Linked DNA regions of Diceros bicornis minor. The main gene of each other region encodes a partner of the protein of the gene in region 3 in a complex. Links are inferred from orthologs where the notes say so. Each region holds a gene or a part of one and is shown on either strand. Other genes may lie near its edges.

Region 1 (8,268 bases), on a different chromosome or scaffold from region 3:
CTGACTTGAAAGTCACATAGCAATGATTTTATACTACATTTACTCATTCCACAGGTACTAAGTACCTATTACGCACCAGGTGCTGGGGTAAAATGAGGTAAACAAATAGACATAGCTCCTATCCTCAGGGAGCCTGGTCTAGCAAACAGTGAAGTTTGGTGAGTATTATTAAGGAGCACCTTCACACAGGAGAAGGTACATATGTAGTTATTTTTCTGCTGATAAAACTGTTTCTAGTTTGTTTGATGAAATTAAGCATATCAGTAATTCAAGGATGTTCTGCAAAGATCCCTAAGCCTTCCAGATACTCGGCCGACCAGTAAATTTAAGGATTACAGAACTAGAACATCTAAATCAAAACACTGAAGACAGATATCATCCACCTTGAGGTACAGAGTTATAAGCAGAGCCAAAGGACTCAATTCATCTCACAATGTGGCAAACGATGCCAGAAGGCAAAAAGTCAGATGTTTCTGTTATCTTCTCTCTTGCTTTTCCTAATGACTCCCCAAACTGATTTTTTCTACCTATTCCTCAAAAACGGGTATTCCCGACTAGTAGCTGAGAATTTGGTAGCAGATCCTAATGATGTATAGGTAGATTATCCAAGCGAGTTGTCACTTTAGGATCCCTTCCTTCCTTCCTATATGCTAAGATTCTGAAAGTGGATCAGGAGGAGAGCCTCATACCTTTGGGAAAAAGTTCTCTATTACTCCCATTAACCTGTTAAACATGGATCTCTTATCTTGCAAAATCAGCTCAAGATTTGCCTCCATGAGGAAGATAGTCTCAAACTACAGCAACTCACCTTCTAACTAGTAACGTAATTCCTTCTGTATTTACCACATGGACCCCCAAGTTCTACACCCAAGATTATTCAGCATTTTCTTGATCCTATTTTAGCATGTTAGCTGTAGTTTGTCATGTGACCAACTCAGACTGATACCTTCTGTGGCACTGAAGGTTTTAAAAATAATCACTATCGGGAAGAGAGCGATCACTCCAGATTCAAAAACTATGCCTTACATATTAGTCGGTCAAATCCTGCAGATGCTAAGGTGGATCCATTGGGGTGAAACTTGCAGCAGTACACTTCCCCTTCATGTCCTGAGAGAAGCATGATTGGGGCTTGAAGGGAGGAACATCTTGGAGGGCCCTACACAAAAGAGAGAGGTACAGGGTAGTCACTGCATACAGACCAAGGAGGCTGCACAATTGTGGAGGCGGGGGTGGGTGGAGGAAAAAGACAAGGGAAACAATGAGTGAACGAATTTCTTCTGATTTAGAGAATGACAGCTCTTCTCACATAACTTACACCTCCAATTTGATACTCTCCTGCTGAGGTTTCCAGGGTCTACCTGTTATACTAACACTCCTCCTTCCTCACTCTGCTCCTGTCCCATAGCCAACTTTTAATTGCTCAAACATGTTAAGCTCATTTCTGCCTCAGGATCTTTACACTTTTGTTGCCCCTGACAGGAATCCTCTTCCCCTAGATCTTCCTGTGTTTGGCTCCTTTCAAATGTTTCCTCTTCAGAAAGTCTTTCCTGGATCATTCAAACTCAAGCAGTGCCCCACTGCCCCTCTAGTCCATGAACCCTACTGTATTCCCTCACAGCACTTATTACTACCTGAAATTACCCTCCTTATGTATTTGTTTACATATTTTGTCTTTATTCCCTACTAGAAAAGAAGCTCTGTGAGTGCAGGGCCCCTGCCTGGGTCATTCAACACTGTTTTCCCAGTCTCTAGTTCAATTAAAGAATGAATGATTGAACTGAGCTTCCCAACAACCCTGCAAGGTACAGATTATTGGGGAAAGTAGTTTTGATTATGGTCTCAACATAAGCCTACTCTTGGGCAATTCACCGAAACCTGGGCTGATATTCTTACTTGTCAGTGGAAGAATAAGTACACTATCAATAATCCCCAAATCTCTTCAGTAATTTCCAGCTTACTCATTTATTAAGAAAAATACTACGTGCCAAGCACTGTTCTAGGCACTGGGAAAACAGCAGTGAACAAAATAAACAATGGAGTTTGTGTTCTAGTGGGAAGGAGGGAGGGACAGAGAGAACAACTAGAACCTACAGATGGTGGTACAACAGAAAAAGCAGCAATGTGGGTTAGTGAGTACTAGGTATTGCAATTTAAAATACGCTGGTAAGGACAGTCCTCACTGAAAGAGGGATATGTGAGCAAAAATTTGGAGATGTGTGTAAACCATGCACACATTTGGAAGAAGAGTATTCAAGTAGAGGGAGCAGCAAATGCAAAGGCTGTGAGGCAGGAGCACGGAAGCCAGTGTCACTGGAGCAGGGTGAGCAATGGAAAATTGGTAGATCAGAGACGTAAAGGCAAAGCCGGCAAAAGACTGTAAGGATTCTAGTTGTACTCGGAGTGAAGTGGAAAGCCACTGAAAGTTTTCAGCAGAGAGTAACATGATCTGCCAGTTTAGAAGAACTCCTCTGGCTGCTGGATTGAGAATAGACTGATTACATAATAGCAGAAACAGGAATACCAGTTAGGACTCTACAGCAATAATCAGATAACAACATAATAGTATATAATAATAATAATGAGATAATAATAGCTTAGACCACAAGTTAGTGATGGAGGCCACAGCAATTCTGTATATATTTTGAGGACAACACCAAACAGGATTTGCCGACCGGCTGGTTGAGGAGTTGAGAGAGGGGGGACACACATGTATTTCTTCATCCGAGCCTAACAGCACGGAAGGAAAGATGTGATCATTATCTCTAACCTACAAGAAATGCAGTTAAGCGCATGGATTCTGGGCTTAAAATCTGTTTCTATCACTTACTAGATAAGAGTTTGTTTTCCCAGCTACAAAATGGGATAATAATGGTTCCTAACTCTTAAGCTGTTACCAAGGTTAAAGGAGTTTTCACATATAAAGCACTTGGTACAAGGGCTCAATGAAGGTTAGCTATTATTCAGTTGTTAATACTAGTGCACAGAAATAAAGGGAAAAGCAACTTGCCCAAAGTCCCAAAGCGATCCAGTATCACTCATTTCCTTCTTTCCTTCCTTCCTCCATCCATTCTACAAACTTTTCTGAATGTTTACGCCGGATCCTGGAAGATTTAGGATGCTAACGCCGGTTTTGAGCTCAAGATCCTTAACTCTAATTCTAACGCCACCTCACAGGGCGGTCGAGACGCCGAAAACCGGCGTCAAACGGGGAAACGTGAGGAGCATCTGCAGGGTGTCGGCCGCTTTTACAACGTTTTCGGCTTTAACTCCAGATACCGAGTCTCCTTCCGCCCCCACAGCGCGGAGAAAGGGCCGCCGCGAGATCACCCGGCGCAACGCTCCGAGGAGAGAGAAGGATGAGCCGAGGGCGGAAGGCCGCCTGCCACTTCACTCACCGCTTGCAACAAAGCTCCGGGCGCCGCCTGCTGCTGCCCCGCTCCGGGGCCCGACCCCGCGGCTCCCAACAGCAACTCATGCCGCTGCCGCTTGACCGGGACCAGCGGCAACTCTGGACCCTTGCGCTTCTGCTGTTCTATCATGGCGGCAACCGCTCTCCTTAGCGCAGCCACTGACCGCGCCGACACCCTCAGGCACCGCGCGATTGGCTCCGACTTAGTCCTTCCCCTAGAACTTCCGGCTTGGAGGAACCAATCGACTTCCAATATTCCCCTCTGCACCGCCCCCTGGATAGTCTCCTGTTATTGGTTAGCTGTCTCTGATGTCACGAGAGTACGATTCCAGGATTGGTGGATGGAACTGCAGTCCCGCCTAGGCGCGCTGTGTCTTGTGGGTGGAACCGCGCTGACTGGGTTGCGGCGTTTCGCGCAATGCTGCGGCCGGGGGACCTGCAGCTGACGGAGAGTAAGTAGGAGGAATGTCGGGGTGGGTGGCTGCGGAATCTGGAGGCGGCGCCTCGGTGATATGGTCTGAGCCTGCCCATTCTCAGCTGAAGTTTTGATTGCGAGGGGCGGAGGCGGGCCCCAAGGTCCTGGCTCTGGGGGGTAGTAGCCTGGTTTCCTTTCTGTGCTGGAGCAGAGCCTTGGGGGTCGCTGCGGCTGCCTGGGCACCTCGACGCCGGACTCCTTCAGCAGGCGGCTACTGTGTCCAGTCCGGTGCCGGAGGCCCCCGGGGAGAAACGGCCTGGATCCTCTCTGAGTGAGGAGGCCGACTTGTTTCTGCCACTGATTCTGCAGCCTCTCCTAGGGCCTGCTCTGTGTCCCTGAGAGAGACAGGGACGGAGGAAAAGTCCGACTCTTGCTTCTCCAGAGCAGTCTTGTTGAGAAATTTGGACTTATACCTGTGAAATAGATCTTCTCCTTAATCGTCCAATTGATATTTATTTGGCAAAGCATTGAGGATATGTGATCCCTGACTTCAGCGGTTCGAGTCTGGTGGGGAAAACAGATGTTAAACAATGATCTCCCTGAGAAATGTGAAATAAGTGCCGTCTAGGAGAGGTGCCTGAGGTTATGAGGGCCTGAAATAAGCAGAAAGGCTTGTCTGAGGAGAAGATGCCTGAACTGATGCCTGAAGAAAGAATTCTAATTAGTTGGGTGAAGAGAGGAAGGCAGAATATTCCATATAGAACAGCATGTGCAGAGGCCCTGTGGCAAATGGGAGGAAAATGCCTCAAAGGCACAAAGAGGCCAGTGTGGCCAGTGCAAAGAGAATGAAGGGAAGTATGGTCCAAGATGAAGCTGGAGGCCGGTAGAGGGCAGACCTTGCAGGACTTTGTAGCTTTTATTTGAAGACTGATGGGAAACCACTGAGGGTAGTTTTTTGAGGGGGAGGGAGTGTGTGGAGGAGGTAACTTAATCCCTCAGGCTCAGTAGTGTGAACAGATCTGAAGAGAGATAGATGCAGATAGACCCTTTAAGTGAGCGTTGTTGGCGGTGTAGACTGAAGTATTGGTGAAACTGCAGAGAATTGGACAGATTCTAGAGATATATGGGAGGTAGGGTCAGTAGGACTTGGCGATGGCTTGGATTCAGGGAGTGAAAAGAGAGGAATCACAGATAACTCTTAGGTTTTTGGCTTATGCAACAGAGTATTTATTTCATTGGTAGAGAAGGGAGAGGTCATTCATGACTTCAGGAGGCAATTTGAAATATGGCTTTGCAACTCAGAAGAGAGATTTTTGTTGGAGATATATATTTGGGAGTAATTTGCATATAGGTGATAATTGAGCGATAGGTGTGGGTAAGATCCCCTAAGTCAGAAGCTTGAGTAGTTCCAGCATTTAATGTCCAAGAACAGGAGGATGAACCTACAGGAGAAGAAGAGAAAAAAGAGCTAGAGAGGAGCACCAGAGGAATGTTGTCTCAGAAACAAGGAAATGGCCAGTGTCAGAAACTGGAATTTAAAAAACACGAGAATTGAAGAATGTGTGTTGGCTGTATCATCGTGGAGCTCATGGTATCCTTAGCGAGAGTTATTTTGTTGGTGTGATGGGGCCAGAAGCCAAAGATTCAGGCAAGGGATCGGAGGCAGTGAATCTAAAGAGTGTTTTTCATACATATGATTGTAAATGAGAGGAGAGGATGTGGAAGCCGAAGGAGATGAGGGGTCACCAGGAATCCACTTGAGAGGGCGATGGAGAAATTGAATACACAAGAGACAAATTCGGTCATTGATAGTGTTCTGAGAACATGGGAATGGATGGGATGCAAAGTACAGTTAGAGGGAGCAGCCTTGGGAAGATGGACAGTCCTCCATTTAACAGAAAGGAAGAAGGAAGTGAAGGCAGTAGATATAGGTTGTTCTTATGTTTGGTTTTGGTAAAATGAGTTCCTTTCTCATGGTTTTTATTTTCTCTGTAAAGTAGGAGATAGGATCATATACTTAGAGTGAGAGGAAGTCAGAGATTTGAGAAGGTTGCAGAAGATTTGAAAATCATTGTAGAGTGTGTGGGAGAATGGGTTTACCAGAGAGATGTAGAATTGTCGTGCAGAGTTATGGGCCCATATGAAGTTGGGGATCATATTTTATTTCCAGCAACATCAGGCTCAATGCAGACATGGAGAAAACATATGCAGATATGGCAAGGACCGTGGGTTTGGCTTGCTCAACACACATTCCCACCTTTAATGTGCCTTCTCTTACAGAAAAGTCTGGGGTGCTAAAAACTATTTCCTGGCTCCTTTGCACCTAAGATGAGAATTGAATTTGGAACTGAGTTAAATGTGGAGAGAAGGAGTGTGAGAGGCATCCAGTTTTGCTGGCAAATATTATGGTAGAGGCAGTGAGTTTCTTTAGTCAGCAGCTTTCTGGTTTAGTGACTTTCTGCAATGATAGCCATAACTTTCTTGATTGTGACAAAGACTGTGTTATTTTTTGGGTTAGGAGTTGTTCCTGGAAGTTCTACCAGAACTTCCTATAGCCCTTCCAGTAGTTTTGTAAGCCGATACCTGGCAATAAATCCTTTTCTGCTTAACCTAGCTAGAATGGGTCCTGGTGTCTGCAGCTGGTGGGGGTACTGCCAGATAGGTGAGCCGTAATGACAGAGAGTTAGGGGGAACTCAGGGTGTTGTTTGAATGATAGACTGTGGAATCTAAGCTGGAAAGAGAGAAAAGTTGAGGTAAAAGGAGAGGGCTGATGGATTAGAAGAAAATAGAAGTCAATAGATCAGGGTTCTAATGAGGTCAAAGAACAGTATTCTCTGCCAGAGGACTTCCATTTATCCTTAAAGGCCCACTCAGTTGTTACCTTTTAAACTTCCCTGCTTCCCCTAGGCCCTTCTTTTCCTCTTGTTTTCTTAGTACTTTGAACCTAGCTGCTGTTTTAGCACTGATCATACTGCATTGTAATTGGTCACCATTATCTCTACCAAACTAGGAAGTGTTTGAGGACAGGAACTGTGTTGAAAAGGGTGGTTTAGTGGCAAGTGTGTGTGGCCCTTGGAATGGCCTAAGATTTGTCTCTTTCTAGCTATGAGTTTTGTACTAGTTACTTCATTCCTGTAAAACAGGGATACTTACTTTGTAGAGTTGCTTTAAGGATTGAAGGAGGTTTATGAAGTGCCTGACATATAAACATCAATAAATGTGCTGAATTGGTAGTTTAAAGTAGGGTAAAATTAAGTACTTCAGTATTTCAGTAGACAGAAATGTCTATGTGCTTTGCACTGTGCTAGGCTCTAGAGATTTGAAGGATATGATGTGCAAGACAACGGCATGCTTGGAAGAATTTCATAATCTAGAAAAGGAAGAAAAAATGTTTGTAAATAGGATTTGAATCCTGTCTCCATCATTGATAGTTTTGTAATCTTGAGCAAGTTACTTAGCCTCTCTCGTGTCTTAGTTTCTTCATCTGTAAAATGACAACGATAATTGCCTATCTCTTAGGGTGGTCAAAAAGGGAATTAAATTAGTTAATACAAGTAAAGCTTTTAGGTTAATACATGGCAAATAGGAAGCATTCATATATTAGCTATTATTGTTAGAGAGCTTGGAAAGGACCTTAGGGATTATTGACTGAAAGAACAGTGTGGGGTAGTAGCGTAAGAACAGGTGTTGGGGTCTAGTACAAACGTGGCTAACTGTGGGCAGCCTTTGTCAAGCTGACCTCTATTAGCTCATTTTCAGTTAAATAGGAGTAATAGGCTGAATGATCTCCATAATTCCTTTCAACTTTCACATTTTATGAGTCCATGTTTTGTGTTTTTCCTTTCTTTTTACTATTCTTTCTCTTTCCTGCTTTTGACCATTTTCTCAACAGATCCATGACTGGAGTTTAAAAAAGGAAGAAGCATCTGTCTAAGATAGTCACTCCAGAAATTTGGTGGGAAGAAGGAAGATTGGGCCACTAATTTGGCATTTGATAGTCTCCCATCTTCTGACCCATCCAGCATATTGTGAGGAACTCAGTTTCTTCTCCTACATTCTTTTTTTTTTTTTTTTAAGGAAGATTGGCCCTGAGCTAACATTTGTTGCCAATGTTCTTCTTTTTGCTTGGGAAGATTGTCCCTAAGGTAACATCTGTGCCAGTCTTCCTCTGTTTTGTGTATGGGATGGAGCCACAGCAGGGCTTGATGAGCAGTGTGTAGGTCTGTGCCTGGGATCTGAACCCACGAACCCTGGGTTGCTGAAGTGGAGTGTGTGAACTTAACCACTATGCCACCGGGCTGGACCCCCTTCTCCTACATTCTTTAGACTGGAATGCTTTCTTCCTTTTTCTCTACCTGTGTTTGGCACATTATAAGGCTCTGTTCACTCATTCAAGAAAACTTTGGGTACCTGCTGTACACTAGGCACTGGGAACACAAAATC
Region 2 (8,123 bases), on a different chromosome or scaffold from region 3:
GTGAGCTGAGGTCACAAGAGTGAAGGCGACCAACCCTCCAGGTGCTTTCCAAGGGGCTTCCTCAGAGTCAGTGATGTCTAATCCAGATCAACTCAGGTCATACGAAGAAACATTTAAAACCAGAGGTTAAATAAAGAAATATGAAATACACTCTGAAATATCAAAAAAGAGAATTCCACCAACACACTGGAAAAAGGAAAAATCAACTTTATTAAACAGGAAAAATACTTCAATTATTCATTTGGTCAAAATGTAGTAACCAGCTCCATCAAGTCATAACACATGTTTAGTGGGATTTAGTAAACTTTGCAGACTAATGTCCTCAGTCCATTTTTATGTCAACAATTTTTCACTTGAACCACAGAGCCCCTGGGCACTCAGGTAGAGAGGAGGAACAAACAGACTGGAGAGAAAGGAGTCTCTTTTCCAGGAGATTAATCAACAAATGATTGACTGCCCGCTTTTGCCCGAACCTGTGTGTAGGGCTTTGCCTGCTCAGCAATAACCTACGTGCCCTATTACAATCCTGTGTCCTCCTGGCCCCATCCTGGGCAGGACGCCAACCAGCTGGGATGGCCTGGCCAACCCAGATCTCACTCAAAGAACATCATGTCTTGAAGGAACACAGAGCCCTTCCACGTGAGCTGCTGTTCCAGGGAACGCTGGCTGCACCAAGGGCAGTCTCTCTTGGCAAGCACATAGACTTTGTCCCCTGCCTATATAAACAACCCCTCTCTGCCCACAGTAGCAGGTGCACAACTCTGTCCAGCCAGCTGCCCCTGGACACTCCCTATACATAAGTCCCAATAAACCTATATGTCTCGTACGCCGTCTCCAGGTCTTTTCTCTGGTCTCTTCACTACCTATTTCACACTCCTTGCATAACTGGGTGTGTGGCCAGACACTGTGGTACCTGGCCAGGTCTGAGGCCTGGGTTATCTCTTGCTAACACAAAGGAAATGACAAATCTATACCCGGCCATTTCTGGATGGCGATTTAGGTTCATTTGTTTGCATTCAGCATGGATACAAATCCTTTCCCCCGTTAGCAATTAGAGCAAGCAGTGAGCCCAGAGTACAGACAAAGTAACCGACCTAAAGCAGTGGTTCTCAACTGAGGGTGATTTTGATCCCCAGGAGACATTTAGCAACGTCTGGAGATATTTTTGGTTGTCACTACTGGGCGGAGGGGTGCTACTGGCATCTAGTGGACAGAGGTCAAGGATGCTGCTAATTATCTTACAATACCCAGGACAGGCCCCCACAACAAAAAATTATCCAGCCTAAAATGTCAACCGTGCCAAAGTGACGAAATCCTGAGTTAAAGGATCTACTGCGTACCTAATCCTGAAACAAAGGCTTGGATAAACAAAAGAAGACAATACTTGAAACACAGAACAGAGTGTAACAAGTGAGATGTGTCACATAAACAGCACTGAAGTTCTGAAAAGGAGACAAATGTGGGCAAGAGAGAATCTGAAAGCTATGTGGAGGAGGTAGGATTACGCTCAGTTTTTAACAGCATGGAATAAGGAAAAATGTTTTGGGGAAGAATAGTGTGAGTAAGAGTACAGAAGTGGAAGAGAGCTGGGTGAGAAGTGAGAAGGCTAGTCTGAATGACACAGAGTGAGTTCTAGACAAGATGGCAAATTAACAGCATGCAAATGGTACCAGCCTGAGAGTGCCAGTTTCCTTATGTGTACAGAAATGACCTAGACACCTAAGGTCCCTTTCATCACCAACATCTATGATTCTAGAAGAGTGAGTCTCAACTCTTTTGTGCATCCAAGTAGCCTGAAGATATTTTAAAAATTACAGATGCCTGAAGCCCACTTCCCAAGATTCTGATTCAGTAGGTCTACAGAAGGGCCAGAATATCTGTATTTTTCAAAGCTTCAAGGTAAGTCTCACACAGGCCAGAAAACCATTGTTCTGACCCTCTTACCATTACAGCACTATGTGTATTATGTACTCAATACTTTAGCCCAAATAATTCAACCTACTAACTCCCAACTCGTGACTTTCTGCTTTAATAATTATCTATGCCCTCTAAACCAATAATTCTGAGAACCTAAATAACCAGAAGTGAAAACAATGTTTTATAAACAAAGATATGCTATTTTTTACTTTTTATTTACTTATTTATTTCTTTTGGTGAGAAAGATTGTCTCTGCAGTAACACCCGTGCCAATCTTCCTCTACTTTGTATGTGGGATGCCACCACAGCATGGCTTGATGAGCAGCATGTAGGTCTGCACCCAGGATCCGAACCCATGAACCGCGGGCCTCCGAAGCAGAGCATGCAAACTTAACCACTACACCACCAGCCAGCCCTATTTTTAACTTTTTATTAAAATGTAACTACAGTATCACTTTTAATGTCTAAAAATTGAATACAACATATATGTTTAATCACAGTGAACAATTCAACAAATTATGGCAAATTGATGATAGAATACTAATTAACCACTAAAAATGATGATTACCTTTAACTGTATATGCGTGTGTGTGTAGGACTTCATTTCGTTAAAAATAAAGATTAGAAACAAAACTGGAAGATGTGGCCCAAACTGCTAATATTAGTTACCTCTAGGTTTGGGGATTATGGGTAACTTTTATTTTCTTGTTTATAATTTTCTTTGTTTTCTAAATTTTCTATGAAACATATGTATTAATTTTATAATTGGGGAGAAAAGTTGGCCTATTCTGCTGATGTAGGCTGGATAGAAAAAACAATTCATTCCAAGGCAGAAAAGATTTAAGTTTCAAAAGAGATCCATGAATTAATTCTTATGAATAACTTTTTTTTTTTAAAGATTTTATTTATTTATTTTTTCCCCCCAAAGCCCCAGTAGATAGTTGTATGTCATAGCTGCATATCCTTCTAGTTGCTGTATGTGGGACGCAGCCTCAGCATGGCCGGAGAAGCGGTGTGTCGGTGTGCGCCCGGGATCCGAACCAGGGCCGCCAGGAGCGGAGCGCGTACACTTAACCGCTAAGCCATGGGGCCGGCCCTTATGAATAACTATTAAAGGGTCAAAATTTAAAAGAAAGATCAAGACCACTAAATTCTTAAATAGTGATGAATGTAACAGAGCATCCACATCTTAAGATCAAGTTATTAGAGTTGCTGTAAAGAAGTATTCCTATAAACTCATTAGGTGGGGAGTCTATTCCTATAAACTGGTTAGGTGGGGATTTGAAGGCATGTTGAAAATCTCCATCAAAGCCCAGAGCACGGGGCAGGGTCCACCTGAGACTTGCTGCCACTAACTAACTCGTTTCCAGCCATGAAGGAAGCTCATCAGGGCCAAAAGATCGTCTACTTTATGGTAAAAGAAATAACGGAAGGATCTGCTGAATTTGGTATGCTCTAAAAGGAGGGAGGGGGGGCGCAATAATCTAGAAAAATAGTTATGGGGAAGTAGCTAACGTGGAAAGGTTGGATACTTGAAATTACTGCAAACTCTTAAATATTTCCTGCATGGATTAGCCAGTGGTGGATACCATGCATCCAGGATTTCCGAGGATTTCCAATATTCTATCCTTTTGTCCCCATAAGCACACTCAAACTCGTACACTAGGTGCCTCTAGTTTTAATTATGAAAATAGGCTGATGTTACTCCACCAGTGGTTAGAGGTATGAACCACCACCACCACAACGTCCACCAGGGCGACTGACAGCAGAGGTTCAAGTATACCTAATTACATACATCCAAATATGCATAATCCCACTGCACATTCCTGGCACCCCTCGGAGGTGTTCTGAGTGTTGGAGACACAGAGAAGAACCTTCATTTTATTAACCTATCCCGCTCACGGGACACCGTGCTTAGTCCCTGTTAACCTACAGGGGCTCCGCGAACATATTTGCACACCACTCCCCCCCGGGGGCCCGGACCACAGCAGTGCAGGCACCTGGAAATCGCTGCCGGGGAAAACATTTAAAACAAAAACAAAAACGACTTCTCAAGAGCTTTTCCAACCTGGAGTGAGGATATCTGAAGGCAGAGGTAGAATATTAGGATGTTTGAAAGCCCAGTTTCACCGAGTGAAAAGACCTGGAATGAGGCAAGGTAACGCGAAGACCCGGGGCTGCACTGGACATGGAGAGGGCTGCAGACACTGCCCAGACCGGCCCTGCCCTCGAGGGGCCCTCCGACTGGCTTCTGAAAGCTCGGCGGCGCCGGGAAGGCAGCCCGCGGCCGCGGCCGGGAGAGGCCTGAGCGGCCGCCGCGTCCCTGCAAGACCTCGGCCCCGTCCGACCCCAGACTGCCGACTAGGTGCCCCGAGTCGGGGCTGGGAACCTCGTCTGGGGCCGCCGCGTTACCTGCAGCAGGTGCAGCTGGGCCACGAGGCGCCGCGGCAAGTGGAGGAAGCAGTCGCGAGCGTTGGTGAAGGCCACGGTCACGGCCACTCCGCCTCCCCCCGCAACCGCCAGGCGATCGCTGCCCCACATCGTCAGCAAGCCCGGAGGCCCCGGCCGCCCACGCCAGCTGACGCCGGACGCCCGGGCAGGCCGAGCGCCTCGGAGCCGGAGGCGGCCGATCGCCCCGCCCCCTGTGCCCGCGGCGCCTCTCGCCGCGCTCCGCTAGGGGGACGGCCAAGCAAGCCTTGTGCCGCTCTGCGCGCCTCTCCGCCGCGCCGCTGGGGGCGGCACCTCTTGCACCGAGTCCTCGCTCGCAGGAAACGATGGCCCCCCGCTGTCGATTTCTAGCCAATCCCGGCACGCCTTGACCTATCCCTCTCTCTTATTGGATACACGGCAGTGCGGCGAGGCGGATGTTGTCGTCTTTGCAAGAGCCCAAACCGGCAAGATGGCGTCGAGTGGTCGGGAGCTTGGGGGCGTATTCGACCACCACGTCCAGCGGGCCGTATGCGACACAAGGGCCAAGTATCGGGAGGGGCGACGGCCTCGCGCTGTCAAGGTAAAGTGATTTTGGTTTCCTTCGCTGTCCTCGGTAACTTTATGTGAGCTCTAGCTCCACAAGCCTAGTTTACGTAAATAAAAGCTTGAAAGGCTGCGGTCATATCCGTCACTCATTGGAGATGGGTATGAGTAACACTGGTACTCAGGTACCGAAGATTCTCACGACCCTTTTGGTCAGCTGCTAGAACGTCAGCTCCGCGAGAACGGGCCTTTATTTTAGTCACTGTATCTTCCATGTTTACAGTAGTACTTGGCATACGGCAAGTGAATATTTGTTAATTCTTTCCAGTAACTTCTACGGAGCCCACTTCTGGAATACATGTCGAAGGAATATTGTCTGTGCTTTAGTTAGAGGCCCTCACACGTGGGCTGAATTATTCTTTATGCAGAGAGAGGGGCAGAATTTTTGATTTGTTTCCTGCAGACCGACTGAACAGAGTATTTGTTGTTTTCAAAGCTTTTTTAAAAAACAGCAGATTTGTCCTAGGCTTATTTAGAAAATACGTTTAATGTGTCTGCGTTTCTTTTAGGTATATACAGTCAATTTGGAATCTCGATACTTATTAATACAAGGAGTTCCTGCAGTGGGAGCGATGAAGGAATTAGTTGAGCGATTTGCTCTATATGGTGCAATTGAACAGTATAATGCTCTAGATGAATATCCAGCAGAAGACTTTACAGAAGTTTATCTTATTAAATTTATGAATTTACAAAGTGCAAGGTAATATGCCAGTTAAGCAGTGTCTCATTTCCTCTATTTCCATTGCTATCATTTTGGCCCAAGGTTTCTTTTATTCATACCTGAATTACCCAATAACCTAACATGGCCCTGTTGTATTATCTTCCTCCTTTCTTCTTGAATGTTAGCCTTGTCAAAACTATTTCCATCATGTCATTCCCATGCATAGCAGTTTTCTGTCGTGTAGTGTGTAGATTAAAAATTGGGTTTGGAGTAAGTTTTCCAGTTCCCCTACTTACTAACATCATGACCTTGGACAAGTTAATTCCTTTAAGCCTGTTTTTCCTATTCTCTAAAATCTATGTGGTAAAAGGGCCTACTTACTGAGGTTGTGTGGAGATGAAATGAGATAATCCCTATAAAAGGCTTAGCATAGTGCCTCCTGTTTAGAACGCAATAAACATTAGCTATTGAGGTTCTTATTGTTATGTGCCTATGAGGATGGACCCCATCTTTTCCAGCCTTCTGTGTAACATGAACTCTCTGTTCCAACAAGGCTGAAGTATGAAATGCATTGTCTGTTTTTAGGTATACCTCTATTGTTGTCACTGATTTGCTCCAACACCCATCCTTCCCTGGCTATTACAATTAATATTTTCTTTTCTGTGCTACAAATAGCAGTTGTAGTCTGCCACAAAAACACTTGATGGGATCATGTATTGTTCTCAGGTTGCTCTTATATGTAATCTCACTGCCCTAACCAGCTTGCCAGCTCCTCATGGTTAAGGAATTACCTTTTCTTTGTATCTCCTGCAGCACCTAGTACAGTATGCTGTGGAGTTCAACATTGGGATTTGAATCCTAGGTCCATAAACTAATGTGAGTGTGGCCAAGTTATAAATCTCCCCAGTCCTCAGTTGTATTATAGGGTTGTTGTGAAGTGTTGATTCAAGTGAAGCACTTAGGACACTGCTTGGTGCATGGTAAAATCTCTGTAAGTATTTCTTTTCGTTATCCCTGGGCATATAAGTACTTAAGTATTTATTATAGTAGTGCCTGGCCAGTCGTAGTTGTTTAATAAGTGTTTGTTGAATGAATACTATTCTCTCATTTTCTCGTTGATTAGTTATATATTCAATATTTCCTCAATTATTGAAAGCTTTACAATTACAGTATTTTAATTAATTTTTTATATATGAATCCCTTTATAGGAATACATTGTGCTGAAAAGGCTAAATTGGGTATGAGCTAACTCTGAAGGGCCATTTAACTTAACACAGAGAAGATTTCTATTTCATGATCACAGACTGTGTACCTCCGGCTAACTGCTGGATCCTGAGCTGGTTAAAAGGAGTCTGGATATGTGTGGATGACTTAGCTCAAAACCTGTTAACACTATTGGGAGAGGGCAGGGAAGGCTCTAAGAGTATACACTGAATCAGTAGGGTCAATACCATCCATAAGCAGAGCCTCTTAATCCCCAAACCATGGGATGTACATACACATAGCAAAAGCTGGACTTTGGTCTTTAGATCAATGCATTGTATACTAGTTAAGCTTTCATCCTAAGTAAATCTAGATTAATCAGCCATGCTATCATGTACTTCTGTTTAGGATAGCCAAGAGGAAAATGGATGAACAGAGTTTCTTTGGTGGATTGCTTCATGTGTGTTACGCTCCAGAATTTGAGACTGTTGAAGAAACTAGAAAAAAATTACAAGAAAGAAAGGCTTATGTAGCAAGAACTACTAACAATAAAGGTATGGAAAGCCTGTTACTAAACACCTCCTATGTGTCAGGGCCTCTGCTAGGTATATCATCATGGAGCTCTCAGTCTAGTGGGAAGAGAGGCAAGTAAATGATCACAATATTCAATAACTGTAAACTACAGAGTTCTGTGCAGCAGTCTGCAGAACCTGGGCTGGGAAGAGAGAGAGGCTGCTTGGTGGAAGACTTCCTACAGGACGAAAGAGGTGGCTGAGTTTTGAAGGATAGGGAGATATTACCCAGAAGGGGAGAGGAAGAGATGGAAAGGTTGGCCAGGTAGCATGTTTAAAGGCCCAGAAGAATAAGTGAGCATCATACATTTTAAGGAACTCTGAGTAGTACAGGGTAACCACAACACAGGGGCTTCAGTGAGAGAGAAGATTAGAAAGCCAGACAGGAAGTGAATCATAAAGGGCCTTGTGTCCCGTACTAAGGAATTAAGGCTTTGACCTAAAGCCAGTGAGAAACAATTATGATTTGTAGACCAGTTACCAACTGCTAATCTAAAACTGCTAAAAGTGGAAAAATTCCACTTTTGACCAGCAGCTGGCCAGATGCCCCATATGCCCAACTGAGTTTCTCTGGACAAATTCCAATTGCCTGAAATAGAGTCATGGGATCTGGTACATGGATTATAGGACTAGAACAGTCAGAATTGGACTAAGAAAATATGTGTGGTCTGAAATCTGAATAGTACTAGAGGCTCAGATTACCAGATTTCCACCCTTTAGTTGAAAGATAAAGTTGG
Region 3 (6,287 bases):
AGTTAAGATGACAATTCTCCCCAAATAAATCTATAAAGTCAATGTAATTACAATTAAAATTGAAGCAGGGTCTTTGTGCTATTTGCAAGCTGACCTTATCAAATGGGAAGTTTTTTTGTTGCCTTTGAGGGTCATTTGGAGGAATGCAGAAAGCACTATTCAGAGATTTACTTAGGTTTTAAAAGTTAACATTTAATTTATTAGTTATAAATTGAAAAGATGCCTTTTTCTTTAAGCTTTTAACTTCAGCTAAAAATCCTAAACTCTAAGTCTAGCAAGTTTTTGTTTGTTTGTTTTTTTTTTTGGTGAGGAAGATCAGCCCTGAGCTAACATCAGTGCTAATCCTCCTCTTTTTTTTTTGCTGAGGAAGACCGGCTCTGAGCTAAAATCTATTGCCAATCCTCCTCCTTTTTTTTCCCCCAAAGCCCCAGTAGATAGTTGTATATCATAGTTGCACATCCTTCTAGTTGCTGTATGTGGGACGCGGCCTCAGCATGGCCGGAGAAGCGGTGCATCAGTGCGAGCCCGGGATCGAACCCGGGCCGCCAGCAGCGGAGCGCGCACACTTAACCGCTACGCCAAGGGGCCGGCCCTAAGTCTAGCAAATTTTCACAATCGCTTTTAAGGGGCCTTTGGATAAAATTTAGTTCAACTCCAAATTTTAACTCTCAAACATTTTAAGCCATACTCATGAATGTAATGTAATACATTTCATTTCCTTGTAAAGACTGTAATTGTCTGATTTAACAAATAAAACCTTTCACGTACTTAAATTATTTTCACAAATCTAATTAATTAAATTTACAAATGTGTAAAATGAAACAAGTTCCCTTATATACTCCACATCACTGTATAAAACGGTTATAGCTGAATTGTGTCCTGTACGCGCCCCCCCCCCCCAAATTCATATGTTCAAGTCCTATGCCCCAGTAGCTCAGAATGCGACTATATTTGGAGATAGGACCTATAAAGAGGTAATTAAGGTAAGATGAGGTCGTATGGGTGGACTCTAATCCAATATGACTGGTGTGTTTATAAGAAGAGGAGATTAGGACACAGACACGCAGAAGGAAAAGCATGTGAAGCCACGGAGAGAAGATGGCCATCAGCAAGCCTCGGAGAGAGGTCTCAGAATGAAACCGACTCTGTCATCACCTTGATCTTGTCCTTCCAGCCTCCAGAACTGTGAGGAAATAAATTTCTATTGTTTAAGCCCCCCAGTCTATAGTACTTTATTTTGGCAGCCCTAGCAAACTAATACACCTTGGCTCTTAATTAATACATGTAAATGTATTTTCCATCTCTAAAGACCTTTGAATTTGAGGAATTCTCTCATATCCTCAGAATCACTCTTAATGATACAGAAACAATATTAATTTTCACGGCTTTGTTTGACTATTCAATCACAATTTCCGTGAGGATTTTAGTGACAATTCTAAATTCATGTGGAAGAGGAAAGGATCAAGTTAAAACATGTATGAAAGAAAAATATTGTATAGGCTTTCACCCTGTTGGGTATCAAGACTTATTACAAAGGTACAGTAATTAAGATCTTGTGTTACTAGTGTAGGTCACAGACTAAGAGGCTAATAGAACAGGATCCCAGAAACAGACCTATGCATATACAACAGAAGCACTAAAGATGAGTAGGGAAAGGATGTACTATTTAACAAACGACTGGTTATCACTAGGAACTAACCAGCCATACAGGAAAGTATCAAAAAACCTGATCCCGAAAGCAAAACAAAACAAAAACTTCCAGGTGGATTAAAGTTCTAAATATGAAAAACCAAAATTCTAAAACTTTCAGAAGAAAATGAAGGAAACTACTTTCTATGGCTGGCCCCAGGGTAGAAAAGAGTTTTGCTTGATTTCATTTTTCAAACCAAATGCAAAAAGCACAAACCATCAAGGAAAGCTGATACATGTGACTGCTTTAAACTTAACTTCTGTACAACAAAAGATAACACAAAGGAAGGTTAAAGATGAGCCACAGAGTGGAAAAAAATATATTCATTGCGTATAACTGGCAAGCCTCGTATCCTGAACATATAAAGATCTAAAAAATTAGTAAGAAAAAGACAAACACCCCAATAAGAAAATAGGCAAAGGATATGAATATGCATTTCACAAAAGCAGAAATTAATAGGCCAATAAACACATAAAAAACATGCCCAGTATCCCTAGTAAGCAGTGATATGCAAATTAAAGGCACAATCAAATTCCATTCCACCCTTCGGATTTGAAAAATGTTTAAATGTCTGAGGTCACCAAGTTTTGGGAAGGATGTCGATCAAAAGGAATTCTTAGTTTGCTGGTGGGACAGCTAATTGGTTATAACCGATGTTGGAGAGCAATTTGGCACTATCTAGCAAAGCTTGAAGACATTCATTCCTATGTCTCAACAACTTTATTCCTATATATATGCGCTAAAGAAACTCCTTCACGTGTGTAAGAACATATGTACAAGAATATTCAATTAAGCATTGCTTCTTATAGCAAAAACGTGAAATTAAATGTCCATTATAGAGAGAATGGAGATGTTATGGTATATTAATTCAGTAGCATCCTGCACAATAGTAAAAGTTAACTAAAGCTACATATATCAACATGGATACTGACTATGATAAAATGCAACTTACATAACATACATACCGGGTATCATTTATATAAAGCTTTAAAATATGCATAACAATAATACTTACTGTTGATGGATACACAAACTTTCAGCATTCAAAAAAAAAAAGAGGCTCAGGAATGATTAACTGTAAATTCAAGATAGTACCCTGAAGTGAACAGATTAGGGAGGGGAACACAGAGAACTTCAAGTTTATTTGTATAGTCTTATTTCTTAAAAAAACACAGCCAAAACAAAAGAACAAAGATGGAAACAAAAGTGGCAAAATGGCAAGGTTTGATATATCTAGATGGTGAGTCCACGAGTATGCCTTATAATAGTCTCTACATTTTAGGAATGACATGTTTGTTATAACAAAGGTTAAACCAAAGAATAAAACGTTTGTTTTTTTTTCATTTTTGGTACAAGCATTTGATCCTATAAGGAACATTTTGTCGTTTTCTTTAATTTCTTTTAAATAAAAATTGCATATATTTAAGGTGTACAACATGATGATTTGATATAGTGAAAGGATTACTACATGGGCCAGCCCCGTGGCTTAGTGGTTAAGTGCGCACGCTCCGCTACTGCTGGCCCAGGTTCAGATCCTGGGCGCGCACCTACGGACGGCTTCTCCGGCCATGCTGAGACCACGTCCCACATACAGCAACTGGAAGGGTGTGCAACTATGACATACAGCTATCTACTGGGGTTTTGGGGAAAAAATAAATAAAATTATTTAAAAAAAAAGGATTACTACAGTCAAGCTAATTAACATATCCATTGCCTCACATAGTTACCTTCTTGTGTGTGTATGTGGTGAGAGCACCTGAAATCTACGTTCTAAAGAAATTTCCAGTATTCAACATAGCATTAACTATAGTCATCGTGCTATTTGGTCTCTAGACTTAGCCATCCTACATAACTGCAACTTTGTACCACAATAAAAAATATTTTAAAGTTGTCTTTCTCCCAATAACGAGTTTCTTCTATTTGGCTCTAATACAGCTGTTTATCCGTTCATCAAACGTTTTTTAAGAACGTAATCTCTGCCAGGCTATGAGGATACCCTAAACAGATACCATCAAAGAAGCATACGAGAAAAGATGCCACCAAAAAAGTCAACTCCTTTCCTCAAGCAGTCTGCGTTCGCGTGAGGAAGTCCTTAAACCAAAAATTAGGATATAAAGCGGTAATAACGAAGCGTCCAAGATGCAAAGAGGAAGGAGAATTTACACGTGTGGAGTGGCCAAAGCCAATTTCAAGGAGATGCTTTCGAGCTGACTTCAAGGGAAGAGTGTTTGCCAAGGGAACAAAGACATTCCAAGCAGAGGGAACAGCTTGTACCAAGAACGGGAGAGGCGAGCAGCACGGAACACGGAGAAGCGCAGGTGGGGGCGTGTAGGGCGAGGTGGGGAGTCAGAGGGAGGGTGTCAAAATAAGGAAGGGGGACCCCGATGTGAGGGCCAGAACGCGTCGTAACGGGTCACCGGGCGGGAAACGGCGGCCCTGCTAGCGCTGAATTGACTTGCACTCCACACAACTTCTAAACAACACAGCTGGGACCAGAACCCGCGTCTCCTGATTTCACCTGGTCGTGAAGGGGCTACCGTGCTGTCACGTTAGCTCCAAAAGCAGAATTACACCAAGACTTCATCTTCCCAGTCGCTTGTAGCCCTGTCCTACTTGAATGTCCTACTTCCTCGCAGCCCCAAACCGCCCAAAGATGCTCCCCGCCACCAAGACACCACCCTCCATCAGACCGCCCACAGCCTCCTAAACCAAGGCGATGGGTCCCAAAAGCCCGCGCGCACGAACCCTGGGAGACTACAAGTCCCAGCATGCAAAGCTCCCGGTTAGGAAAAGCGCCGCTAAATGGACCATCATGCAACGCTCTACGAAGGGGGCGGGCTCTCTGTAGGGGCGGCCCGACTTGTAGCGTCGCCTAGGCAACTCCAATCCGGGACGGAATACGCTTCCGCTTCCGCCTCTGAGCCCTAGGACCGCGAGTCCCCGCGGCTCCGTCGTTGTGACGCCATTCGCCTGCGACGGCGCAGTCCTAGAGGTCCGGTGGGGTGTTCATTTTCCGGCGTGAAACGCTAGAGCAGCCATTGCCCGCCGCGGTTTCTGCCTGGGATCCAGCGGGAAGGCGGCGAGATGACGGACCGCTACACCATCCACAGCCAGCTGGAGCACCTGCAGTCCAAGTACATCGGCACGGGCCACGCCGACACCACCAAGTGGGAGTGGCTGGTGAACCAGCACCGCGACTCCTACTGCTCTTACATGGGCCACTTCGACCTTCTCAACTACTTCGCCATTGCGGAGAACGAGAGCAAAGCGCGAGTCCGCTTCAACCTGATGGAGAAGATGCTGCAGCCCTGCGGGCCGCCGGCCGACAAGCCCGAGGAGAACTGAGACCCCGCCGGGTCCCCGCCGGGCGGAGCGTGGCTCCCCGCGTCCCTCCCGTGTGCCGTGGCTCCCCGCGTTCCCGCCCCGGGGCGACCGGTTCTCCGTGGCTGCTGCTCCCCGTGCTTTCCCGGTGCAGAGGCGCTCACCCGCGGCGTCTCGCCCGACCTGCCTTCCTCTGGACGCCTCGGAACAGGGCGTTGGGCGACCGTCAGGACCCCTGGGGACCGCGACCCTGGAGAGATCCCAACGCCAGCCAGCGTTAAGGGGACACGGCACTGCAGCGAGACGGCGTTCGGAGGCTCGTTTTTGGCCGGTTGATTGTCGTTGTTGCCTTTTCCATAAAGTTTAGAAGTTTTTCGGTCTCTTGGTGTGGACTACTTGTGATCGGGTGGAGGGGTCCAGGGAGGGTTTTGGGGACTGTGGTTTCGTGAGAGGGTGGGGTGGGGGTGGGGGTGGGCGCGGGGCCAGGGTACATTGCCAGGCGCTTAAATCCGCCCTGGACAACTTTTATCATATGCCCCCCACCCGCCGACTTCTCCCAAGAGCCTTTTTCAGTCCGGTAGTGCTTTCAGTATTGAGGTTTGTGATCATTGCATCACACCTTTTTGTTCTCTTGTTCAAAAAATCTTTACGGTCATTGCCCTCTACTCTCTCTGTAAATTGCATCCTCTCTACTCTTGGGACTCTCTGGGCGTGTGTTGAGAAATAACAAGCTGTCAAACGAGTTTTCTCATTCATTCAACATTCAACAAATACTTGTCGAGCTCTATGTGGCAGGCATTTTTCCACACTTTGGGGGTTTACATTATACTGGCGGTGGGGGGAGGGGAGGGGGGGCACACAAACTGTAGATGTAAATAAGCAAATGTTAGAAGGTGCTGTGGAGGATGGGAGTAGCGGCAGAGTTGCAATTTTAGATAAGATGCTCATGTTAGACCGTTGAGATGGTGACATTTGAGCAAAGGCCTTAAGGAAGTGAGGGAAGTAGCCATGCAGAAAAGTGGGGAAATTGCTTTCCAGGCAGAAGGAACTGCCAGGGCGATGGTCCTAAAGCTGGGCTTGTGTCTGGCTTATTGGAGGAACAGCAAAGAGGCAAATATGTGGAGAGGTTGAGCAAGGAGAAGAGCAGAGGGACAGGTGATGGAGGGGGAGTGGATGAGAGTAGAGCCTGGTAGGCCAATGTCAGGACTTGTGGCTCTTACCCTGAGAGAGATGGGGAGCCATTGGAAGATTTTTTTTTGCTGAGGAAGATTCGCCC
Region 4 (8,569 bases), on a different chromosome or scaffold from region 3:
CTTCCCCCCTATAGATTGAATCCCGGAAGAGAATTGCCAAAACGGTATTAGTGCTGGTGGCTCTGTTTGCTCTCTGCTGGTTGCCAAATCACCTCCTGTATCTCTACCGTTCATTCACTTATCAAACCTACGTGGAGCCCTCTGCCATTCATTTTATTGTCACCATTTTCTCTCGGGTCCTGGCATTCAGCAATTCTTGTGTCAACCCCTTTGCTCTTTACTGGCTGAGTAAAACCTTCCAGCAGCATTTTAAAGATCAGTTACTCTGTTGCAAGGCAGAGCTGCCTGACCCTCCACCTGCAGATACCCCTCTGAACAACCTGGCTGTGATGGGACGGCTCCCTGGTGCTGGGAGCAGGCAGGTGTCTGAAATTAGTGTGACCTTGTTCACCGGGTGTAGTGTGAAGAAGGAAGACGACAGAGTCTAGCTTTTCAATTAAAAATGGTATTTTTCCTCCCAGCGTGTGTATCCGACTCTGAGCTGTGCGTAGGTGTATGGTTGGGTTTGTGTTGTTTGTGAATTGTGCTGAAATCTTAGGAGTGAGGGATCCTGATAAGTAAAAGACAAACTGATTTTCTTCAACGTACAAACATTAACGTCATTGGGCTTTCTAAATAAAGTGAAGCCTCAGTAGGTATAGAAAGACATATTTGCATACGTCAGTGGGTAGTAAGGGAGGCTGAATAGGAGGGAAGGTAAAATAAACAAGATGACACTTACAACTCTGATTTGTTTCCATCACATCTATGATGCTTATTTCTCATATACTCCTGTGAGTTGCATAAAACTGTGTTTGTGTTTATTATGTGGTGTAAATCTAGAGATTATACTTGCATATGAAAAGGGGATCAAAGAGAGATAAAACATCTCTTCTGTCGCTTTCTTGAAAAACAAAATCCTAAAAAATAAACCTTCACAGGTTTTTTGACTGCCCTTTTCCATTAATCTCTATTCCACTAAAACTAAAGCTGTGCATTGCAAGGCAAGTGTTTTGGGGTCAGCGAGTATAAAGTACAATACTGAGTAAGGATCTGGGGCAGGGGGCTTGCCTTACTGGGTCAACACTTACTGACTTAATGTGGTTCTACTTACAACCAGCATTGATTGATAATTGGGCAAAGTTATCTTTCACAAATATTGTGAATAACTTGCCTTATTCACAGGCAGAATAAGTGGCCACGTTTACCGCGTCATTTGAGGGCTCCAGGGAAGGACCTGTGTTGAAAAATGTGCAAGCCTACCAGTGTCTGAAATTTTTCCTCTAAGGAAATTCCTTTCTTTCTGGTAAGCAGTGCCCTCTTTCTAAAAAGTGCAGAAGTACCACAGGAAATCCCTAACACCTGGGTGCACAGTTGTTATCAGATCATCTTTCTGCTTGACTTCATTAAACTTGATGGGTGCCTAAAACCTGTAAGAGTATGACCTAATTAGTCTCTGCCCTTGGAAATCAGATGGAAGGTTCTGATTTTCTCTCCTCTGCTCCTACTTGCTAATGCTATAAGCTTGTTCATAACTGTTATTTCAAATAATTTTTGTCAATAGACATAGATTCAGATTTGTGGTTTCAGAAAATGTTTTCTTGTGGCAAATTAAAGCATATGTTTGGCACTATAGGTAGTTAAATTTGTATTTTCAAAAACTTGATTTTGGGGTGTGCTTTTGGTAGTTTCGAGCTTTCTTTAAATGGCTTGTGTAGTTGTGAACTTTTGCTAATCATGTGGCTCAAAAAGGGGATATATATTAACACTAGACTTTACATTTCTGTAAAATCAGTTTAGTCAAAGTGGGGGGGTGTTAGTATTGTATTTGTATTGTTTTAAGTTGGACATTGTAATAAGGGGGGAAATAAATAAATGTGAAATAAAGTTTTAAATGACTATGTAATTTTATATTCTAAAAACAATACTTCCAACAGAAGATAACTGAGAACCCATTTAACTCGAAAATTTAAGTGATTTTCAAGTCACCAAACTCCAAAATATTTGACTGTTTTCCTCACTCTGGGTAAAAATTACATCTTTACTCTCCTAAGCATAACAGTTTAGAAATAACTTGATTAAAGTACCAGATTACAAAAGCCAAGAGAGCCTTTTAGCAGTTGATAAAGCTAGAGCTCAAAGAACTTTCATTTTCTTCATGCTCAGTAATCCCTACGTGACTTAGGGATCTGACATAAAATAATTCTCTAAATGATCTTATAGGGCATCAGCCTCCCATCCAGAGTTGGGGAATTAAGATTAAAATTCATGGCTTTGATTGGATTTTTTTGGAGGGAGTGGTCTCTTTTTTTAACAGATTATCCTTGTCAGAACTAACCATACAAGTAGGCCCCAATATTCACAATTTCTTTCACCTTGCCTATTGTGGTGCCAGAAATGTTACTCTGGAAGATTTCATTTCTTTGGAGATGGTCCTAAATGGGTGGAGAGGTGGGACACATGAAAAACAAATTTTGTATACTTCTCAACTTTGCTCGGGGTCTGCCATGACCCAAGACTTAGAATGATGGACCATAATAATATGCTACCAAGCAGGAAAACAAAGCCACAAAACATACTTAGGCACAACCATAACGTTCGATGGGCAAGTCTTCGTCACTGAAGCTGAAAGCACTACAAAATATTTAACACTGGCATACCTAGTGAAAATAGCAAATTTGGGTTTAAAGAATTTCTGCAGTTATAACCATCTTAAGTCAGGGATCCATCAATCATTTTGTCAAACAGAGTTACTTTTATTTCCACTAAGTCTTGAGATTACAGAAAGTGGGGACAGGAAAATTCCCGAACAGAGTAAGCTTGAATGGGCCATTAAAAAAAAATCTAGTTTGGTATAGCTCAGTAGTTTTCCAGAAAGAGTTCCTACGCCAGGTAGGTGACTTCTCTGACCAAGAGATCTCTGCTTTGTAGGTTATTATATTTTTATCCACTAAGAAGGCCTTGGCCTATTAGATCAGGAGTACAGCACAGATCACCCCTTACAGAGGTCAAAGAGAGAAGGATGAAGGAGATACTCAGAGAGAAGCCGCTGTCCAGGTTCTGAGACTGGTTCGGCTTCCTGGGTCCAGCAGCCCCTCATGTGGCCCATCTACAGTCCAGGCCTGGAATTTCAGGAGCTACTCTCTATCTTCATAATAATAAAGCTCCCTCGTTTTTGCTTGTTACCTTGAGTGTTTCTGTGACTTGCAAAAAAGCTCTCTGTCTTATGAAGACAGAGATACTTCCAGATTTCCTCAGTTACTAGGGAGTTAATTCTATGACTATACAGGGAAATAACAACAAACAGGAACCAGCCCTCATAGAGACAACAGCATTGTTTAAAAAAAAAAAAAAAACTGTCAGGTCTCGTGGCCAAAGAGAACGCCATTGTAGGTACAAGTGTGCTTAGCTCCCAATTCCACTGCTGCACTATGATGGTGACTCAGTGACCCTGTCACTGCCTCAGCTTCTGCTCTCACCACTGGGGAACTTCTCCACAGCAGGCCTCTGTTCTGCTTATTACCCTCCCTGTGTGGCCCTCCCCTGCTTCTGTGCTACTCTGACCATGTCCCTGTCCTTCCATATTCATTCCTCTCCTGGGGAGACGCTCTTATTGGCTCAGTCAGTTAAATTTTGTCTAGAAAGCACGGCTACCCTGCCAGGTCCCCTCACACACCTCTGGACAGCCTTTGGGTCAGGGTGGCTGGGCCCCATGGGACGTAGGCATAAGGAACCTTTTTGGCCACCTGCTCAGAGGGGCCCGTGGATATAGCAGGCATTCAGAGTGTCACGTGCAGTAGGGCTGTATAGCATATTATCACCTATGCTGTGATCTCACTCAGGAATAAAATGGGAGCCCAACAACACATTGCTGAAAACAGCTGTATGCTATTTCTGGAGCCAAGAAGAAATATTCAGCAATGCTTAAATGAACCTAACAAAACTGATGTTATCTATATTATAAAAATGCATGCAAGTGCAGTTCTCCAAAAGTCTCCACCAAAACAAGAACTCCATGAAAAAGAAATGTAATTAAAAAAAAAAAACCTAAACTCAAGCTACTACTTAAAAATCGTTGTTATGGTTAAAACTATATTCACACAGCTAGTATTTGGGGAGTTAGGATTTTCTAGAACCCATACTCAATCGCTATGTTTAGAAGCAAAGGTCACTAGAAGAGTAAAAAGAACTTCTTCTGGGAAGCTTTTCCCCACCCTCAAGTATGCATTATGAAATTTATGTTTACACATAATGAGTTTATTGTTAGTTTTAAAGGAATTAATATTCTTTTAAATAGCTGTTTTAATTTTAGTGTGACAAATATTGATAAGAATGATTCACATAAACAAAATCTCTTTGAGGTCTTAAATAATTTTTTGAGTGTAAAGGGGTACCAACACCAAAAGGTTTGGGAACCGCTGTTCTCCAGCGTCCAGTTCTTCTATCCTATCATGTCCCAGACAACCTAAGTGTGTAACCCCCGAGCTGTGCCTGTCTTGCTGACTGCTGGCTCGCCAGAGCCTACTACAGTGCCTGGTACCTAGTAGGAACCCAATAAATGCCTGCCCGATTAAAAAATACAGACCTCTTCATTTTCAGCAATATGTATAACTCCCGGGGAAAAAGTTCTGTTTAGAGGAAAAGCATTCCGTGTCTTTCCAACAGAAAGACAAAAAATGAAGTTAGTCGGCCAGCAAAGCTGGTGTTTATACTTGGATGTTTACATTTAAGTTTCAGGTTTGCAGCTTGAGCATCTCTGAATCATGGAGCATGAGAGGTAGGCAACTGCTGCCCTCCCTCCCTTTCCACAGAGTCCATCTCCAGCCTGAAGAAGGTACCGGAGAGAAAAAGGAGGGGATGAGGCTTGGAAAAGAAGGTTGGTTCTTCTACCCATCGTTCCTTCGTTCATTCCTTCACTCACTCATTCAGTACGCGCTAGACCCCAGACCCTGTGCTAGGAACTGAGGCTACCAAGACGCAGAAGAGCCGGCGCCTATCCTAGAGAAACTATAAAGAAACAAGTAAAAGACTCGTTTCCCACGCGGAGGAGGGGCCTCTGGGCGAAGGAGGCGCGTCTTTTTCTCAGCAAGACAAACCTGTCCTGTCCGCCCCATCCACTCCCCCAAGATGGCGGCCGCCCGAAGCGCGCCGCGGCGCCTGCCCAGTGGGAACATTCCCACGCCTTCGGGCTACCGGCCCGGCTCGGCCCTGCCCGCCGCGGACCCGGCGGAGCCCGAGGTGCCGGAGGTACCGCTGCCCCCTGAGGCGGCCCGGGCGGCCATTATCACGCGGCACCCCCGGCGCCCCGCCCTCTGGCCCCCGCACCTCTTGCCCGCGTCGGCGCCTGTTGACGCCACGGTGGGCGTGTCGGCGCGACCCGCGACGTCGCGACGCGCCTACAATGGCGACTGCGTCAGCCTGAGCGGGCCTCCGTTTTCAAGTAATTTCCTGACGTTGCCGCGGGAGCCGCAGTCGCCTCAGACCCGGGCGGCGGCGGCGGCGGCGGCGCGCGGGCGCGCAGCGTTCGCGCCCTGGATCGAGCGGCGGCGCCGAGGCCCGGCGGAGTGAGCCAGGTGGGCGGCGGCGCGGCCGGGCTGGGAGCATCGACGCGCGCGCGGCGGGCGGAGCGGGGGGCGGCGCGGCCGCGGAGCGGCCCCGATTTCCCGGGGGCTGCTGGGGCGCCGCGGGGAGGCGGGCCGGGGGACTGCGGGGCGCGGGCCGAGCGCAGCCGACCGCCTTTTCTCTGTGCCTCTCCAGCGTCATTTCGGCCTCTTCGCTCGCCTGGACCCTGCCCTCGGGCTAAGTCGGCAACATGAGCGGCAACAACTTGGATGGCAACGAGGAGTTTGATGAGCAGTTGCGAATGCAAGAGTTGTACGGAGACACCAAGGACGACAACACCCAGAAAGATCCCGGCGGGGAACCCGATTCTTTCGGGCAGCAGCCGGCTGACACCCCCTACGAATGGGACCTGGACAAGAAGGCTTGGTTCCCCAAGGTAAGAGAGTGGCACGGGCGCCACTGCAGAGCGGGCCCGCCTGGCCAGCCTCGCGGGGCGCTCCTTTGACGTTTTCTTTGCTGAGGTCCTAGGTTAGAGCCCGCATGGATAGTGACGTTTGTTTTGTTGTGTCTGTTGCAGAACCGATGTGTAAAGGAAGCTAAATCTTTAGGAAGATGTCTTAAATGTATTTAATTCTTAAATCTTTTCTATGCCTTATTAATATTACCTGTGAAGGTCACAGTTGGTTATTACATTGGTAACTGCTTTTTGTTGCAAAGAGGAGAAACACCAAGCTCAAATTTAGTAGCTCAACTCATTTATCCTAGGAATGCAGATGTTTAGCTTATATACTATGTGCAAAATGCAGCTTCTTGATTGGGAAAAAAAGAGTAGTCATTTAGAAATCTTTACTGATTGAACTTTGCACCTCTCTTTACTTTCCTATTAAATTTTGTCCTTAGACACAAATGTTTGAACCATATAACCATAGGAATATGAGTAGAAGTGCACAGAGTATGGATGGAAAAATCTGTGTATATTTATTTAGAGTACTTGGACATTGTTAATTATTTTGGTTCAGCTTGGAAGTAAAATAACTGGTGTTAAACTTGGTTCTGTGAACTTTTCAGTAGAAGTATCCTGGTAACCAGCCTCTTAGGGTTGGACACGAGGATAACCATAGCACACTAATTGACTTGCAAACCAGCAATACAACCGTGTCTCCATTGTGTAATTTGACTGTTATTTAAAAGATTATTTCAACTTCTCTCTTTCTCATTTTGTATTTGTGTATATATTCCCTTCCCTCCAAATTGTTAAATTTTTTATTTCGCTTCTGTCCTGGTAGTGCCAGCTCCAGTGCAGACTTGGTTTCTTCAGCCTTCTGAGTAGTTTTAACAACAGTCTGGTAATGGACTAGTTTGTGACTCTATGTTTTTAAGTTATGAAAGCCCATACCTCTTCAAACTTTGAGTTTAAAATTTTCCCCATTCCTATGTATGTTTAACATTGATCAGTATGAAGATATAACTGCATTTCTTTCATTGTGCAATTGTGCTTTTTTTACCTAAAAGCCAGGAGGATAGATGTGCGTTGGGTTTGTACTTAATTTGTTCTGACACTAAATGATAATGTGATTTAATTAGTGATAGAGTTAGAATAAGCATTTCGTTTTACAATTGTTAGCTCTGTTCTTCATATACCAAATCACAGTTCAGTTCTGTGTCTTCTTTGCATACAGATATTTAAAAATTTAGTGTACATGTACTTTTGTGCATCTATATAGTAAAAGAAAAATTGATTCTGTTAGATTATTACTTGACTATTGCTTTTTATTTTTATTGTTACCTGATAGTTGCTTTGTTCCACGTACTTGTAGCCTTAGTCAGCTAGACTGTAGAGAGGTAGTAATTTATAAATGAAACAACTAGAAAGGTGCCAACATCACTTAAAATGCTTTAGTAGTATCTCAGACTTTTCTTTTGATAATCCAAGTACCCATTTCTTATTTTTTATCATTTTATGCACAGTTTTCTATATAAGGTGACTATTCTTGCATTTACACTTTAATTACGATAACTATTATCTACAGAAGCACTTCTGTGTTAACTTGTATAACTGAATGTGCTGTAATTTAACACAGCATAAACTTTTTATGGGAGGGAATTATTTTTTAATTTCTGTATGTGTGTGGACTAAATTTCTTGTTTAGATCACTGAAGATTTCATTGCTACGTATCAGGCCAATTACGGCTTTTCTAATGATGGCGCGTCTAGCTCTACTGCAGATGTACAAGATGTCGGCACTAGGACTGTAGAGGAACCTCCGCAGAGACAGACCCCTGAACCCAGTGATCCCAAAAAGAGGGGAGAAAAGAGAAAGGCCGAATCAGGCAAGTGGATTTAGCTTGCAAAACATGAGTGTAACAATTAAAAATTGTGAGAGTATGTATATATAATTACTTTTTGGATAATTATAATAGCTTTGAAGGAATCGTAAGATGAGGATTTTTTAAGTTATTATTTGGGTTTATATGTTGGCTCTCACACTAATTTGTGAGTATTAGGTAGGCTGTTTCACTTCTATGCCTCAGTTTCTTCCTTTGCAAAATAGAACTATTATTAGGGGATTATCAAAAATTCTGTTTGTAAGATTATTTTTTTGTGTTTAATTAAATTGAACTCAAGTCAATCTTGTTTCATCTTGGCCATGTCTGACACAGTAGATTGGAGTCAGAAGCAACCTATGCATGCCAGGGCCTAAAGTCAGTGCAAGGATGAGTTTTTGTTTTTTTTTTTAAGTTAGTATCAGAATCATAAAGAACCAAGATAAGTTAGCCATCTTTTTTCAGACAAGGCTCTGAAACTATCTGTAAAAAGATCCAAATCTTTGAAAGCTGGACTGTGATTTGAGTTAGTCTGTCTTGTTCTAAAGGTAAGGAAAAGTTCCTGGAAGTTTTGAGAAACTGCCACGTTGTCAAGGTTTCATATTATGACTCTTACCTTTTCTTGCATGTGTTTTATTTATTTCATTTTGATTTTTAGGATGGTTTCATGTTGAAGAAGGGAGAAATACAAATGTATACGTGT

The links.
Region 1: SF3B5 (region 3) and SNRNP40 share a complex: the UniProt entries of both Homo sapiens proteins name them as parts of the minor spliceosome. The link is inferred for Diceros bicornis minor from reciprocal best matches to the Homo sapiens genes SF3B5 and SNRNP40.
Region 2: SF3B5 (region 3) and RBM48 share a complex: the UniProt entries of both Homo sapiens proteins name them as parts of the minor spliceosome. The link is inferred for Diceros bicornis minor from reciprocal best matches to the Homo sapiens genes SF3B5 and RBM48.
Region 4: SF3B5 (region 3) and HTATSF1 share a complex: the UniProt entries of both Homo sapiens proteins name them as parts of the 17S U2 SnRNP complex. The link is inferred for Diceros bicornis minor from reciprocal best matches to the Homo sapiens genes SF3B5 and HTATSF1.

Annotation. Positions count from the first base shown.
Region 1 is NC_080752.1:46,266,325-46,274,592, forward strand, and holds the start of SNRNP40 (U5 small nuclear ribonucleoprotein 40 kDa protein), read right to left. Parts: upstream 3,555-8,268; 5' UTR 3,540-3,554; coding exon 3,396-3,539; intron 1,157-3,395; coding exon 1,027-1,156; intron 1-1,026. UniProt on the Homo sapiens protein: Required for pre-mRNA splicing as component of the activated spliceosome. Component of the U5 small nuclear ribonucleoprotein (snRNP) complex and the U4/U6-U5 tri-snRNP complex, building blocks of the spliceosome.
Region 2 is NC_080742.1:29,967,015-29,975,137, forward strand, and holds the start of RBM48 (RNA-binding protein 48), read left to right. Parts: upstream 1-4,690; 5' UTR 4,691-4,816; coding exon 4,817-4,927; intron 4,928-5,459; coding exon 5,460-5,650; intron 5,651-6,413; exon of another isoform or gene 6,414-6,588; coding exon of another isoform or gene 6,589-6,602; intron 6,603-7,222; coding exon 7,223-7,368; intron 7,369-8,123. Other genes in the region: peroxisomal ATPase PEX1, read right to left, coding at 3,986-4,060, 4,330-4,458. UniProt on the Homo sapiens protein: As a component of the minor spliceosome, involved in the splicing of U12-type introns in pre-mRNAs.
Region 3 is NC_080778.1:23,304,918-23,311,204, reverse strand, and holds SF3B5 (splicing factor 3B subunit 5), read left to right. Parts: upstream 1-4,696; 5' UTR 4,697-4,774; coding exon 4,775-5,035; 3' UTR 5,036-5,391; downstream 5,392-6,287. UniProt on the Homo sapiens protein: Component of the 17S U2 SnRNP complex of the spliceosome, a large ribonucleoprotein complex that removes introns from transcribed pre-mRNAs.
Region 4 is NC_080781.1:124,127,320-124,135,888, forward strand, and holds the start of HTATSF1 (HIV Tat-specific factor 1), read left to right. Parts: upstream 1-5,369; 5' UTR 5,370-5,552; intron 5,553-5,736; 5' UTR 5,737-5,791; coding exon 5,792-5,977; intron 5,978-7,691; coding exon 7,692-7,872; intron 7,873-8,524; coding exon 8,525-8,569. Other genes in the region: BRS3 (bombesin receptor subtype-3), read left to right, coding at 15-428. UniProt on the Homo sapiens protein: Component of the 17S U2 SnRNP complex of the spliceosome, a large ribonucleoprotein complex that removes introns from transcribed pre-mRNAs.